4 linked regions of the Drosophila melanogaster genome follow. The protein of the gene in region 4 interacts with the protein of the main gene of each other region in a pairwise test. Each region holds a gene or a part of one and is shown on either strand. Other genes may lie near its edges.

What was found.
Region 1: the proteins of Pdrg1 (region 4) and ECSIT interact in a two-hybrid assay, tested with the Drosophila melanogaster proteins (one large-scale study listed by BioGRID).
Region 2: the proteins of Pdrg1 (region 4) and CG6726 interact in a two-hybrid assay, tested with the Drosophila melanogaster proteins (one large-scale study listed by BioGRID).
Region 3: the proteins of Pdrg1 (region 4) and Prosbeta5R1 interact in a two-hybrid assay, tested with the Drosophila melanogaster proteins (one large-scale study listed by BioGRID).

What each region holds. Positions count from the first base shown.
Region 1 is NT_033777.3:5,854,970-5,858,430, forward strand, and holds ECSIT (ECSIT), read left to right. Parts: upstream 1-1,615; 5' UTR 1,616-1,701; coding exon 1,702-2,931; 3' UTR 2,932-2,945; downstream 2,946-3,461. Other genes in the region: disp (dispatched), read right to left, coding at 1-382, 784-939; CG2017 (uncharacterized protein), read right to left, coding at 3,343-3,461. UniProt on the Drosophila melanogaster protein: As part of the MCIA complex, involved in the assembly of the mitochondrial complex I. Involved in the innate immune response; promotes the production of antibacterial peptides.
Region 2 is NT_033777.3:23,090,029-23,095,721, forward strand, and holds CG6726 (uncharacterized protein), read left to right. Parts: upstream 1-1,695; 5' UTR 1,696-1,728; intron 1,729-1,748; exon of another isoform or gene 1,749-1,834; 5' UTR 1,835-1,842; coding exon 1,843-1,933; intron 1,934-2,027; coding exon 2,028-2,519; intron 2,520-2,572; coding exon 2,573-2,990; intron 2,991-3,053; coding exon 3,054-3,258; 3' UTR 3,259-3,405; exon of another isoform or gene 3,406-3,431; intron 3,432-3,469; exon of another isoform or gene 3,470-3,472; 3' UTR 3,473-3,650; coding exon of another isoform or gene 3,651-3,747; intron 3,748-3,801; coding exon of another isoform or gene 3,802-4,293; intron 4,294-4,351; coding exon of another isoform or gene 4,352-4,766; intron 4,767-4,821; coding exon of another isoform or gene 4,822-5,026; 3' UTR 5,027-5,156; downstream 5,157-5,693. Other genes in the region: CG17110 (uncharacterized protein), read left to right, coding at 3,651-3,747, 3,802-4,293, 4,352-4,766, 4,822-5,026.
Region 3 is NT_033778.4:23,308,138-23,311,736, forward strand, and holds Prosbeta5R1 (proteasome beta5 subunit-related 1), read right to left. Parts: upstream 1,680-3,599; 5' UTR 1,592-1,679; coding exon 1,442-1,591; intron 1,386-1,441; coding exon 588-1,385; 3' UTR 517-587; downstream 1-516.
Region 4 is NT_033778.4:9,958,598-9,961,614, reverse strand, and holds Pdrg1 (Pdrg1 prefoldin-like subunit), read left to right. Parts: upstream 1-1,882; 5' UTR 1,883-1,939; coding exon 1,940-2,171; intron 2,172-2,223; coding exon 2,224-2,390; 3' UTR 2,391-2,496; downstream 2,497-3,017. Other genes in the region: Pal1 (Peptidyl-alpha-hydroxyglycine-alpha-amidating lyase 1), read right to left, coding at 1-52, 612-852, 912-1,089, 1,313-1,414.

The sequences.
Region 1 (3,461 bases), on a different chromosome or scaffold from region 4:
AAGCGCTGTCGTTTGTAATCTCGTAGTCGCGAAATACTCCACTGTCCCCGATCCAGGTGTCAAAGCCGAGATTTGGAGAGGGAGAACTAGTAGCCTTCAGCCGTTTTTTGAACTGCATCATCTTCTGCGCCACATCGTGATGCTCGTGGCTGCTTTGATTTTGTTCCTTGCGTCGCTTGTTCTTGTTTCTGTTCTTGTGCTTGTTTTTGCGTCGCCTGTGATTCGGATGCAGCTTCGTCTCCACATAGCCCTGCTCTACCCGTCTCCTCTCCCACAGATCCGATGGATTTGAGAAAAGAGCACCATGGTGGTCAGTCTCTTGCAGCAGGTTGTACCAGGCCGTCAGTCGTTCTCCAATTTTGGTGCCGCGGGTTTCGAAGCCCTAAAGTGAAATAAATGTTGAATCATAAATATTAATCATGACAAATAATCACATTATAAAGTGATCAAATAAGTCATATTAGTGAGAAATTAATCTTATTATTTTCCACAATTTTTACAACAATAACATAATAACAATGAAAATATAATACAGGAATAGTTTGTATACAAGTAATCCTGTAGTTTCTTATAGCAATTCTGTGAATATTTAAAATATTTTAACTTCTTAATATTTAAAAAAAATAGATATATAACGAAATTTAAATAAAATAATATCATTTAGACATTTTCGGATTATTTCCATGTGCTCAATATTTTAAAAAATAATTGTAAAATAAGATAAGATATATTCTCCAAATATCAAGCAGTGAACATGTTTTGGACAAATCTAATAGGACAAACCAAGGTGGGATCACTGAAGTCCGGCAGCTTGTTCAGGACGAGGGCCACGATGATGCAAGCGACACAGTAGACAGCAATGGAGACGACCACCAGGTAGGGACGCCTGGCCAGGACGTGGTAGTACCAGTTCATCCTCTCCGAGTCGAAGCACAACATGTCAGTAGAATGTGATGCCCGAATCCTCTTTACCCTCTTCGCATTGCGGGAACATCAAATGCTCCTTGGGTTTCCGCTTCCCTTCAGTGCATCCTTGGCGGCTGGAAGTCTCGAATAACGTTGGGCTGGTGGGTGCTCCTTGGGACCAAGCCAAAGTCTATTGTTTTGCTTCTGTTATAGATACTGCCTGCTGGTCAGGCCTCCGCCGCAGAGATCGGCTTGTTGGATTGCATTTTTATGTAGGCGCGCGCCCGTGCAAATAACTCAGGGTTCGGAACTAACTTAAACAACAGAAAAACAACCGAAAACTATGCGAATAAGGATAACGCAGAAAACGGTGAAATAACAACAAAAAGCAGCACAAAGGATACACTGAGTTAATACAGTGTTGAGCAACTCAGTCACCAGTGATGATGGCCCTAAGCCAGACAAACAGCTGTTCTCCGAAGGAAGAGATTCGTGAAGGTAGTCACAATGAGCTTATGCAATATTCACTTCAACTTTTGTTACTAGCGTATGACTTTAAGCGTGTATTACGGTCATGACACTATTTAAGCTTGAAAATCTTTGGGTACAGCCGAAACTAAATACAATTTTTCGCCCTAGAATTTACCAAATTTGGCTAAATACGCTAGACTATCGGCACTATTAAAACATATGTTGCAGCAGCAGTGCTGCAAAACGCGAACTAGTTCCGCAGCTTGTGCAATGTTTTGTAATCGTATTTGCAAATTTATTCAATTAATTAATTATAAATAAAAAATGCTGCGCCGCGCACAATGCCTGCTCCGGCTGCACGGCAATGGAGGCCATTCGCTGGTCAGCCGCTTTCGAAACTACGCTACGGACGAGGGAAATCCGAAACAGAACCCGAATCCAAATCCCAGGGCACAAAAACCCGGCACCAAAAACCTGCCGGCTTTAAGGAACCCCTTTGCCGCCGCCCAGGACAGGACGAAAAACAGCTACCTGACCATGGTGGAGATATTCCAGGAGCGCGACGTCCACCGTCGGAACCATGTGGAGTTCATCTACGCGGCACTCAAGAATATGGCGGATTTCGGGGTGGAAAGAGACTTGGAGGTCTACAAGGCCCTGATCAACGTGATGCCCAAGGGCAAGTTCATACCCACCAACATGTTCCAGGCAGAGTTCATGCACTACCCCAAACAGCAGCAGTGTATCATTGATCTGCTTGAGCAGATGGAAGATTGCGGGGTGATGCCCGATCACGAGATGGAGGCGATGCTGCTTAATGTGTTTGGCAGGCAGGGACATCCACTGCGCAAGTATTGGCGCATGATGTACTGGATGCCAAAGTTTAAGAACCTATCACCGTGGCCACTGCCCGATCCTGTTCCGGATGATACATTGGAAATGGCCAAGCTGGCGCTAGAGCGGATGTGCACGGTCGACCTGCGGTCCAAAATCACGGTTTTCGAGACCAGCGAGCTGAAGGATGCCATTGACGATACGTGGATCGTGAGCGGAATGAGTCCCGAGCAGGAGAAACTGCTGCGGGAGCACTCTCGCCAGAAAGCTCTGTACATCGAGGGACCCTTTCACATATGGCTTAGGAATCGCCGGATCAACTACTTTACCCTGCGCGCTGATGCAGATTCTGAGTTCCTGTCTGAATTAGATGAGCGGCAGCTGGACGAGGACGATGTCTCCCACATCGAAGTACCCTTCTTTGGTCGTGCTCCACCAAGGCGACACAACCAGCTGGGAAAGCTGCGCTCTGTCCACCAACAGGACGACGGAACCATTATGGCCATCTGTGCCACAGGCACCTCCACAAAGGACTCATTGCTCTCGTGGATTCGCCTGTTGGAAGCGAACGGAAATCCCTCCATAGGAGAGGTGCCCGTCCTCTTCCGGTTCACATCCGAAGTGCCAGCCAAGGCGGAGGAAATTGAAGGTGGCGCCAGTGTCCCGGCAACAAGTGATAACAGTAGTCAAGATGAGCACATTAGCAGTAGACAGAAATAAACAAATTGTTGAGCACTTTTTCGTCTTTGTATACCATAGAATTGATGGTAAATGTTGCTTAAAGTTAGTCGGTTTTGATCATATGTACATATATATGTACATCTGCTAGAAGGAAAAAAATTAATACTTCGGTAATTATTTATACTCTTTGGCTCGGACGCGAATTGAAAGCAACATTGTATGCATTTTGGGGTGGATTTTAATGAAATAAGGTTAATTGAGAAGGATTACTCACAACATCCGATTGTGAGCCGAGCTTAAACGAAAAATCACAGAACCCGAAACTAAGTGTACAGAAGATCTGCCTAAGATTTAACGCCTCCCTCTAATTGCTAATTAAGTATATGTACATGTCATCTTTGTTTGAGATATATAGATATGTCATTGGAACTATCCATCTGGCCCGCTTCTCTACTTTATGCCTGTCTTGTTGACCGGAAACACCTGCGTGACAACTCCGATTCCTTTGCTGGTGCCCTCGCGGAACAGGATGCGCATTCCAGGACGCACGTACTCCGGGTGGCCGACGA
Region 2 (5,693 bases), on a different chromosome or scaffold from region 4:
CTCGAACAAAAGGAAATGTACGCTCTGGGCCGAGGGATATGGTAAATGGTAAATGGCAGAGGAGGATTATATCAGTTCTCTCGCTTTTATTTTTTTTTTTTGCTTTTTTTGGCCAGGTAATGCGCCCATAACGGATTAGGCGATATCCTCGGGGTTCCATCTCTGCAGTTCTGCAGGTTTTGGGTGCTCAACGCAAACAGTTTCCGGCGTTGCCCGGATAATTGTTACAATATACAAAATTTTCATTTAGTTTATTTGCCCAGCGACAACATGTCAGCTCAGCAGCAACATCAGCAAACAACAAACAGGCGCGCCCCCAAGTCACCACCATGGGCGAAAAGTGAATAATTTGGCATCAGATAAGTAGATTCGTGTTTTACTCGACTAAGAATGAACTACTTTAGCCTCTGTACAGACTTATAGACTCTATTCTAGGGACATTACATTCGAATTATGCCAAAAACTTGCCATTTTGGCCCATTGTGCAGCTGAACGAGTGTTTGTGCGCAGGAAACTTGTGTATTTATTTGACTTATGTGACGCTGTAAATGGGGAGAGTACGAGTTTGTACGAATGTGGGGCTTGGATGTTATTTAAAATGCAGACATGTGTAGCCTGTAGTTGCTGCTATTGCTGCTGGTGCGCCATTAAAATCCCAGCAACATTGTTAATGAACTTTTAATGACTTTTTGTGAGTACACACACTAAAACAATATCAACTTTGGCCTAGCAGGGTGTGTATGCGACACAAATCAGAGGGCTTTGGTTTTGTGTATTTTTTTTGGCCCAACCACCTTTTTTTCTGTATGGGAACAAGCGTGAAATCTAAATGCGAAACTAACTTTTGACACACTACTGGGACAACAGACGCAGTGCAGCAAAGTCGGCAAGTGCAGCAGGAACACTATTAATATGCGAAATTTGAATTGGATTCGAGTGGCTGAAAGGCCCGAGGAGGGGCAACTTGTTTACCCGGAAGCCCACTGGGCGTGTGGTGCGAACGTGTGCAGTGCATCTTGATTAACAAATCAACTGGAATTGGAATGCGATTGCATGCGATTCATCAGTAATCGGAAATCTTGGCTGCGGGCCAAATGGGGTCACCATCAATCCAGCAATCCTGCAGTCCTGTTACCCCCAAAGCAATGCGAAGCACCTTCGCCTCCATTTAAGGCAAATAAATCCATCAGCCAGGGGGAATCCCAAGTAAATGAGCCTTAAAGTGGGTTCATATGTACCGGAAAGTGATGGAAGAATGTTCACCAATACATGGAGTGGAATCCCTACCAATTGGGATGGTACAGAAATAGAGTTCCACTCCTTGTGCTATGAGCTGCAAAATTCAGTTTAATTTATAAATAATGCAGTACAAGATAGAAATTACTATTAGGGGATGTCTCTTTTGTAATCAATTGAATTTTTGAGTGCTGGATATTAAATTCATCAAATTAGTTTCTCATATAGAAATGGGAAGACACGAATATTATTAATGACGGAAGCAATTGTTAACTGCAAGTCATTTGTACTGAAAAGTAGATTAGCCATCTAAAAAGTAAACAAATGCGTAAGATAAAACAGTTTATAGGCAGCACCGTATGATAAGAAATTAGGTTTAGTTCCTTCTCGGATTTATTATCATGCCCTCTCTTTCGCTCGCTTATCGCTGATATTTAAACGCGCGCTTCTCTCCACGATCGCACAGTCGTCGTCGAGCCAGTGTTGCGAAAGGTGTGTTGTGTGTCTGCTCTCCGCTGTGGTGAAGTGTCGATCAGCTGATTTCAGCAAACAATTTAATTGATTTGTTATCAGCCGGCTAATTATTTACATTTTATAGAGTGCAAAATGAGTACAGCCAAGTGGGAGAACAACGAGGAGATTAAGATCTTTCGCGAATATCTTCGCATACCAACGGTGCATCCAAATGTGGATTACAGTGAGTTCCAATGGGCATGTATATCTTTATGAGGCTGCGATAAGAGTACCCTGATCTTTATGACCTTGCCATAAAATGTGTCTGCTATTTATAGCCGTTTGCACGGAATTCTTGAAACGCCAGGCTGCCAGCTTGGACCTGCCCGTGGAGGTTATCTATCCGGTGAACGAGCAGAATCCCGTGGTGGTGCTAAAATGGCAGGGTTCCCAGCCGGAACTGCCCTCCATCATTCTCAATTCGCACACGGATGTAGTGCCCGTTTTTGAGGAGAAGTGGACACACGGTCCATTCAGCGCGGATCTAGATGCAGAGGGTCGCATCTTTGCGCGCGGATCGCAGGACATGAAGTGCGTGGGCACCCAATATCTGGGAGCTGTGCGTGCCCTCAAGGCCAGTGGCTATCAACCCAAGAGGACGATCTATCTCACTTATGTTCCGGACGAGGAGGTTGGCGGCCACCTGGGCATGCGGGAGCTGGTAAAGAGCGACTACTTCAAGAAGCTCAATGTGGGATTCAGTTTCGACGAGGGAATCTCTAGTGCGGATGAAACCTACGCTCTGTACTACGCTGAACGGACTCTTTGGCGTGAGTAGGATTGACTCATACAAACAATTTAAGCTAGCCATGTTTTCCTGCAGATCTTCGTTTCAAGATCAGCGGAACTGCTGGTCACGGATCACTGTTGCTCCCGAATACTGCTGGCGAGAAGCTGAACTATGTGGTAGGCAAAATGATGGAGTTCCGCAAATCGCAAGTGCAAAAACTAGCTGACGACTCATCCCTCGAAATTGGTGATGTGACCACTGTGAATCTCACCCAACTGAGGGGCGGAGTCCAGAGCAACGTGGTTCCCCCATTGCTGGAAGCTGTATTTGATATCCGCATTGCCGTCACCGTGGATATCCCTGCCTTTGAGAAGCAGATTCGCGACTGGTGCGAGGAGGCTGGCGGCGGCATTGAACTGGAGTTTGAGATGAAAAACCCCTTTGTGGAGCCAACAAAGATTGACTCGTCGAATGCCTACTGGCTGGCCTTTAAGAAAGCACTCGATGACCTGTAAGGATGAGAAGCTCTGACAAAAGGCATGGCTCTGATATCCTTTCTCCTTGTTTCTTTCAGTGGCCTCAAGACACGGGTTCGTGTTTTCCCCGGCGCCACGGACAGTCGTTATATTCGCTACGCAGGCATTCCAGCTCTAGGATTCTCGCCCATTAACAACACCCCCATCCTGCTGCACGACCACGATGAATTCCTGAAAGCCGATACCTATTTGCACGGCATTGAGGTTTACAAGAAGCTCATTCCTGCCGTAGCTGATGCTTAGCGAACTCAATTCAATTATGAAATAATGCATTTAATGCTTACTTGTCGATGTTTATTGTAATAACTTTAAACAAGCAGGCTTATAAAAACCCATTTAAATAAACAATGTATGAATAAATAAGCCAGTCCATAGTCCATACCATTAATGGTGAGCAAAAAAAGGAAATTTAAATGAAAATGAATAAGTTTATGGTTTACTATTATGGCTTTGCTAGATAACATTAAGCTCTTAGCGCAAAGATGAAAATCCGCAAATTGTGGGCTCTTCTAATCAAGTAGCTTAAAGTCAACAACTGATAATGCCATTAAGTCAATCCACACTCAGACTTCAAACCAAACAGCACGGTGGATTACAAGTCAGTTCCTTTAGAACCACGGGGCATTCAACTCAAAATGTGCACTTGCACGGAACAATGGAAGAACGACGAGGAAATAATCATTTTCCAGGAGTATTTGCGCATTCCCTCGGTGCATCCAGACGTGGACTACAGTAAGGATTTGTTTTTCCGCTCCTTGGATTTTGTTATCCCTATTTCCCTTGCAGCTGCATGCGTGGAGTTCCTAAAACGCCAGGCTAACAAACTTAATCTCCGCGTGGACGTGGTGTATCCTGTTGTGCCTTCGAAACCGGTGGTGATTATGAAGTGGCTGGGCAAGCATCCCGAGCTGAAATCCATTATATTGAACTCACACATGGACGTGGTGCCCGTGTTTCCCGAAAAGTGGACCCATGAGCCGTTTGGTGCCCACATAGACGCCCAAGGCCGGATTTATGCACGCGGTGCCCAGGACATGAAGTCCGTGGGATGTCAGTACATGGCTGCGGTCCGTGCACTCAAAGCCAGTGGCTATCAGCCAAAAAGGACCGTATATTTGACTTTTGTGCCCGACGAGGAAACTGGCGGACACATGGGCATGGCTGAATTCGTCAAGGGTGATTACTTCAAAGCCATGAATGTGGGCTTTAGCCTGGACGAGGGCATCGCCAGTGAAGATGACACTTATCCTGTATTTTACGCCGAGCGTACATTGTGGCGTAAGTCTTCCATTTGCATCAGTAGCAATATATTCTGATTCATTTTATACCCCTGCAGAACTTCGATTTAAATTCAGTGGCACTTCAGGTCATGGATCGCTGCTGCACAAAAGCACGGCTGGCGAAAAGTTTCACTTTGTGATGGATAAGCTGATGAAGTTCCGAGAAACCCAGGTCAAGCTACTGGCCGAGGACTCCTCCTTGCAGTCCGGTGATGTGACCACTTTGAACCTGACCCAACTCAACGGTGGCGTCCAAAGCAATGTGGTTCCCCCCGTACTAGAAGCCACTTTTGATATTCGCATAGCCATCAACCAGAATGCCGATGCAATGGAGAATCAGATTCGCGAGTGGTGCAACGAAGTCGGTGGTGGAGTGGAACTGGATTTCACGCTGAAGTGCCCCTCGGTGGTGACCAAGATAGACGACTCCAATCCCTACTGGCTGGGCTTCAAAAAGGGACTAGATGAACTGTAGGTAAACAAAGATTGTGTAGTTTTCACTTCATAATTTGTTGAAATTTTCCAGAGGTTTGATCACCCATACACGAGTTTTCCCCGGCGCCACCGATAGCTTCTACGTCCGGCAAGTGGGAATTCCCGCTCTGGGATTTTCACCCATCAACAACACCCCGGTGCTGCTGCACAATCATGATGAATATTTGCGGGCCGACACATATCTGCACGGAATTCAGGTGTACAGGAAGCTCATCCCCTCTATTGCTGATTCATAAAATGTTCAAGCGAAGTTCCACTCATAAATGGAAATCAATATGCTACAATTGGTCTTATCGCTTATGAGTAATGTTTTTGGCTCGATGAGTGTAGGACCAAAATTAAATGTTTAAATGGTGTGACTACTACAAATCATATCTGTTTCTAAACAAATGAAAATCACACACTGATAACACGAGTTTCAGAAGAGAGTTTTTGTCATGGACTTTGCCCTCATTCAATATCCAATAAATCGTCACAACTATTGATATCGTTCTCAAAAACTAACGTAACCTTCACGTAAAGGGGTTGTATTTTATATATACATCATAATTATCAATAATTACATTAATATGTATTCTATTTTCTTATCAAACCAAATACAAATTATAATAACCCATTTTTTCGCAGACCATAAACGACGGTGGTTGAGTTTTATTGGTGTTATGTGAACTTTATCGAATTGGCTACCGTTTGCTATTAGACATTTGTTTTGGTAGAATTTTGTACAAGAATATGTGCTGTTATCATTTCTATAACAACCGAGTTTGATAACGAACTCATTATTTGATAATAATACGAAGCCAAGGCCATAAAACCAAAATCACCCAACACACAAAAATTTCTGTATAAGTTCATTTTTTGCCAACTGCGGCACATTCGAGTTTGGTGACTGGCAGCGAAAAC
Region 3 (3,599 bases), about 13 Mb from region 4:
GATGGGCAGTGAGGAGCAGATCCCCCGGACGGAGTCTCCAGGCAGTGGCATCTGCAACATTTGTTGATGACAACCCAAAGACACGGAGTGCAACATTTCGGCGAACATTTCGTTGGCCGTATTTTGTGTGCGGCACGCCCATTTGGGGAAAGTCATTGCGAGCTTAGAAGTTATTATTTTGATTTATAGGAAAAGTTCGTTTAGCGAGCGAAAGTTGCTCGTATATTTTCCGCAGTGGAGGATGGAAGAGAGGGGAGTTTGAGGAGTGAAAAAAATTAGATAGAAGCACAGCTTTTAAAGTGTGGCGAGTGCGGGGCGAAAGGCATTTGTATGTATGCAGCTCTTGTTTTCATTATTAGTGGCTAAAACTTTGAAATGTATCTGTATGTGTGCTTTTAGAACTGAAGAGGATTAGATAGAACAATCCAGCATACGGTTCGGAAAACTATTCTCACGATAAATTCCGGACTTCTTCACTGCCACAAATTCCCATTACCATAAACACTAACACTTTATACGTTTTGCACGACAGAAGTTTTACTTCCACAGAAATTTTTGCTAATGTTGCTCCAATAATTTCCAAATTTTCATACCGTTGCCAGCTTAGTCTGCAAATTGTCTGCTGTGATATTCTTCTTCGTCCAGCCACTGGAACAGGGCTTATCATTGTCGGGATCGCCTACGTTTCCTACATCCTTCTCGTTCCCCGGACACCCAGATGCGCAATACGAGTCATGGAGATCGGAGCAGTCCGTATTGCAGATATTTCGCCAGCCCTCCGAATGAATGTGGTAGAGACGCACGATTCCACCAGAATAGGCATCCTTACTGGTCGCATGGTAAATCGCTCGCCTGGCCAGGTCATAGGCCTCCTGATCGGAGAGATCATAGCGGTACCCAGTGTCCAATACGCCGAGCGCATATGGAGAACCGCTGCCCACGGAGAAGACTTGACCATGGGATCTCATGCCCTCCGAGTCCACGTAAATCAGCTTGGGTCCCTCGTCGTCGAAGCCGGCCAGCATCATGCCCATCACCAGACCCATGCCCTTGTACTCCGTGGATATGTTGCAGATGATCCGGGCAGCCGTGTCCACGGTCATGCGTTTCCGATAGCGCAGCTGGTGCAGGCGACACTCCTTAGCCAAAACCCGATCCCAGTAGACGCAATCGGCGGCTCCGCCGGCCAATGTGCCCAGCATATAGTCGTTCAGCTCGACTATTTTCCTCATCGTCTGGGATCCAATATACTGGCCAGAGGTGGCCCTAGAATCAGCACACAGAATCACTCCTCCGCGATACTTGAAACCCAGAGTGGTGGTGCCGTGATCGAAATCCATGCGAATGCCACAGTGCGACAGGATCTTGGGCAGATTTTCAGCGGGCTTGAGAAGAGTTTCAATCTTAGATGGATCTTTTGGATTATGAAACCTATACTAACTCTTTCGAAGGGAGGCGCCATCAGTTCGTAGGGATTCTCAAAATTACTGGTTGCCTCGCGAAGCTGCTCCTTCTGCCATTCGGACTGCAAGTCATCGAAGCGCCGCATAAAAGGCATTTTATTCATGCCGCAAATCGCTTCCAGAGCCATTATGTGTTCAAAAAGAGTTTATTATTTCCAATAAATAGTTTAGTGTAATGTGTAAATGAGCACACTAAACGAGCTCGAATGATTGTGGAGTTAAGTCTCTAAGGCATCTTACAAGTGTATCAAAAATGTACTTTAATCAAAACAAGATCACAAGATCAGAAAGCTGGACATCTTGTTCCCATCAAAATATCGCATTCCGCTTGAAAGTTTCGCTCCACTGGACAATCCGCAGCGGCAATTCGCAGTCTCCGATTCCATTGGCATTTCATGGTTAGTGGGTGAGAGTGGTCGCAGCGGCACTTTCGCCGGCCACCCAAGTGGAATCCAATGGACCTTCTGTGGGCAGTGGCAGTGGCAGTGGCAGTGGCGCCACCGCAGAGATACACGACATTTTAATTGGACTGCCGGGCAGGGTCATCATCGCCACCTGCCGAGATGCGAAATTGGGACCAAAACGAGTGGGGAATGGCATAGAAGGTGCTTTCGCAGTGACCACGCCCACTCGCAGGCGGTGGCAAACGGATTAGCCGCTAATTAAAGGCCAATTGGCAATGTTTGCCAAACTGTTTGAGTCCGCGGGTCGACTGGCCTGATACCCCCCGTGATATATGTCCCATCCCAGTGGCAGTCGCAGTCACTCCGGCTGCTCCCACTGCCTCCATTAGTGGACGCCATGTGTCACTGATCTAAATTTATGCAAATTGCCGAGGACTTGGCCTCCGCATTCCCCAAACCACCGAATTCCATTTCCCATTCCCCATTCCGCATCTCCCATCCGCCACATTGGCACATTTCATTTTTGCACGCGCTTTCCATTGCAGCCTGCATTCCCCCCGCCCTTCGAATGGAAAACTAAGGGGGCGGAAGCAATTCGGAGAAAGGCGGGCTGGAAAGGAAAAATCGAGGCAAAAGAAACGAGCTGGCTAAGCCCTTCATCCAAACATACCCTAACTATGAGTACATGAAACCACTCACTGTTATTTTATTGGTCACGAAGCATAATAGTTTACTGGACTATCTAAATGTTAAGTCTAAGTATTAGTATTAAGTATTATTTAAGTATCCAATTGGATACTTAAGGTTTGTCGGTATATTTTGTATATATTTATTATATAAACTTTAGATTGCTGTAGGGTATTCAGCTTATCAACAAATATGACAATTCTTTCGCAGCGCTGCAGTTGCTGGATAGTTTTGACAGCCAGCTCTGATTATTAAATCACAGGGCAGGGACAAACTGGAGCCGGGGCAGCAATCTGATATGCAAAATCTCGTCTAACCCAGACGATGCTACTCCACCAGCTCCTCCTGGCCACCATCATCCTGCATCCCGAATCCCCATTTCCCCCTCCCTGCCCTGCGCGGCATCTGTCCTGCGTTAATTACAGCCCAGTTTTGTGCACTGGCAACAACTTGTTAAAAATTTCCGCTGCCAGTTTATTAGAGGGCAACTAACTAAGGCAGCGTAGTGGAAGAATCTGGCCATTCCCTTCGCTTTTGGCCTGAAGTGGCTGGCAGATTACTCAGTCTGAACCTGTTTTAATGACTAAAATGACGCCAAGTCAAGAGCGAATAAGAGATTAGGCCAAACTTGAGCTTCCCGTCTGCGAATCGTTGCAGCGCTGGACCAAGAGCACGATTTTGTGGCATCGGATTTAGTTGAGAGCCAAAATAATAGCCTTTTATTCGGTGCATAGTTCTTAATTATTTACAATTTGAAATCACATGAGCCTTATTATACAATAGATGAACTATGCAAGATGAGCGAGTTGCTTAATAGACACTAAACATTGAATAACTTTGCTCTCAATCCACTTAGGCAACTTTGCTGAGTAATAAAAAATAAACCACCTTGTTGACAAGCTTAGGAATATTCCCCGAATCTTTTCAAAGAGTTTCTTTTTAAGCTCTCGAATTACAAAAACGAAACTCCGCCGAGAATTGTTAAAATAAAATTCAACTAAGGCGCACGTAAGCAAAAAGCGTTTTAGGGACTTTCGCCGGCGAA
Region 4 (3,017 bases):
TAACCAAACGTTGTCTTCGGGGTCCACGGTCAGGCCATGTGGCATGTAAAAACTGTGTGTGAGATGGGATTTAATTAGGAAGGGCATACTTATAAGGCTGTAGAAGTACATTGCTATTCTAGTGATTACTTAAATTTAGATATGCCTTCAGAATTTCACAGCCGAAATTAAAATCTTACAAAATACTTTTGACTATGTGTTAGAACTTTTGAACTTACAAATGCAAAATGCTTTTACTACCGATTTAATTTAACTTCACCAGATAATTTAAACGAAAAATGAAGTAGGTATTATACAAACACAAAACAGCGCGGCCATAAATGAGTACTGAGAAAAATAAAGAACGATATCCTAGACAATCAGTTACCCGATACTCAACTAGTGGGGGTTCGGTGGAATTGTGGGCAGGGCTTAAATGTTTGTGGCATATTGATCGGACAGACGGAAATGGCCACATGGACTCGGAAGAAATGCTTCCTTCTACCTGTGCCTAGATTAGATTTCAACGAATGCAATACACACTTTGCTAACCTGCAAACTAGTATTTGCAATTAAATAAGCACTGGATAGAGCTACCTAAAGTACCGAACAAGGGAGTTACAATTTCTTACAAGTTCTTGCCCCAGTCGTATTGCACTTTGCCTGTTGCGGGCTCCAGTGCCAGGATGGTGCTCTCCCTGATGGGCCCGCGGTACTTCTCCTGGTACTGGTTCCTGTTATCAAATGTGGTCTGTCCCCAGACGCGATTCACGCGATGGAAGATTACCACGTTGCCGGCCTTGTCGAAACTTACAGCTGTCACTGCACCCAGTTTCACATTGTTTGCCGGCCAGGCGTTCTGGTAAACGTAAGCTGGGGATCGAGTTTTAGTGAATTACACGGTGTGCATTTGTAAAAATACGCCAACTCACTGTTGTTTAGCTTGGCCAGCTCAGTCTTGACGTTGGGGACAGTTTGCTTCGGAGGCTGTGGCCAGTTGAGCTGCGTGGCTCCCGATCCTGCTCCGGATCCCTTGAGTATCTGGTGCAGGCGTTCGTTGTTGTTGCTATTGCTGTCCACATTATGCAGATAACGCTGTGGACTTTGAGTCTGAAATGGGGGATTGAGATTAAGATTAAGCCTCTAGGTGAAGCAAAATAATTGCCACGGAGCACGGCGCCCACGCACACATGCGAAGTACACACTACTGCAAAATCAATATGCTAAACATATGTGCGCGCACTGCAAACATATGTTTCCTTGGGTCAAGCAGCGACTTGGGACTTGTAAACTCCTCAACCTGGAAATGCTTTGTTTATCGCTCGGGATTTACCTGCGACACTGCTGGTCTAATGCAGAGTAGGAGGTGGAGGAGCAGGCAACAGATTGCCAAGGACTTGCTGCCCAGGCACTTGGCGCTGTCGGTGGATTTCATTGCTTTGGTGTCCCTTCGAATGTATATATATAGCTGCCCGAATGCTGGCGGAGATCCAGTCCGGCGTAGTTGTGCTCGTAAACAAACGTCTCGTCTCGTTTTGGAACTACAAATCAACTTATGACGCGGCCATCTTTGCTTGCGATTGAGATGTTATTTGTTCAGCGGCGCAGGTAGAATGTGTGTTTACAGGGGCTCAATGTTATGCAGTTATGCTGTGCTATAATGTAACCATATTTGGTTACAAGCGCTCTATTGATATTTTGAATGAATGAATTATCAATACGTCAAAACTGATTAAATTGAAATGCAAGCGGTGGTTTCTTACAATAGGAAGAATATTAACAGGTTAACAGTTAAATGTTTCCTCATACAGTTAGCATGTAAAATGAATCCCTCTTCTATGATGCGCCCCTGATCGAACAGCTGTTTAAGAGGCGTTAGTACGTTTTCGGGTCTCACTTCTTCACTTTTGTTTACTTCCGTGTTTTTAGCAAATCTGTTTGAAGAAATATCATTTGCAAAATGTCGCAAACAGATCTGAACAAAAGTATTGAGATAATAACCAAGACCGAGGAGTTGGCCGACAAAATTCTGGTCAACAAGCAGGAACTGACGGTAATGGATAAACGCCGCCAAGAAACCCGGCAGGCAATGCGGCTGATGGAGAAGTCGGAGGACAAGAAAGTTTGGATCACTATTGGCAGTATGCTAGTCAAAATGGAGCGGGAAAAGGCATTGGAACTGCTCAAAAAAGGTGGGTAACTGCTCGTCCACTACATGCTATTATTAACTATAATTTCTGACAGATCAACAGAAAATAGAACAGCAAATCAATCTGATATACTCAGATCAGAAAGTTCTGGTGAACAAACATCGCGATTTGGAGTTCAAATCGCCCTTCTCGGGTACACATCTTAAGCCCTTAGAAAAGAAGGAGTTCGACGCTCTGAAAGCAAATCTCCCATTACTGTGAAAATCTTCATTTAAGTAAATTTTAGTGACCTAAACCTTGAATGCAACATGACCCAAAAAAAGATCCGCATTAGCGAGGTATATAAAGTAAACAATTTTGTATTAATAACCTTACATATGTTGTTTATTTGCTACTAAATTCATTGCAGTCCAATACATATGGTATACAAATTGGCAGTTAAATGGCTTTAGATTCCGCTTAGTTGCCTATAAAAACTAGTGCATTTGCCTGGAAATTTTTTAAATTAAAGATTTTAATTTTTTAAGCTGGCGCCAGGAAAGTATCGCATAGGAACCACAATCGATATATCTCCAAACTGCCATCGCCAGGTGTGACCATGCTGCTGGCTGAGTGTGACCCATCCGCTCAAAGCTCCCGCAGCACATTTGTTGTAGCGCTCCGCCGTTGTTGACTTGTTTCGTCGTAGGCTCCGATTGGACCGATCTGATCAGACTTTGAATCGATCGCATTGATTTCGAAACGCAGACTCTTAATCGCGAACTAGCCGAATGCACAAGATCAGGTCGAAAACACGCTGACAAATTAATTATATACACTAAAAACCTGCGAAAACGTGCGCTCTTACGTCGGCCGTGTGAGTGCGTGTGTGTGGTGCGCTCTTCTCTC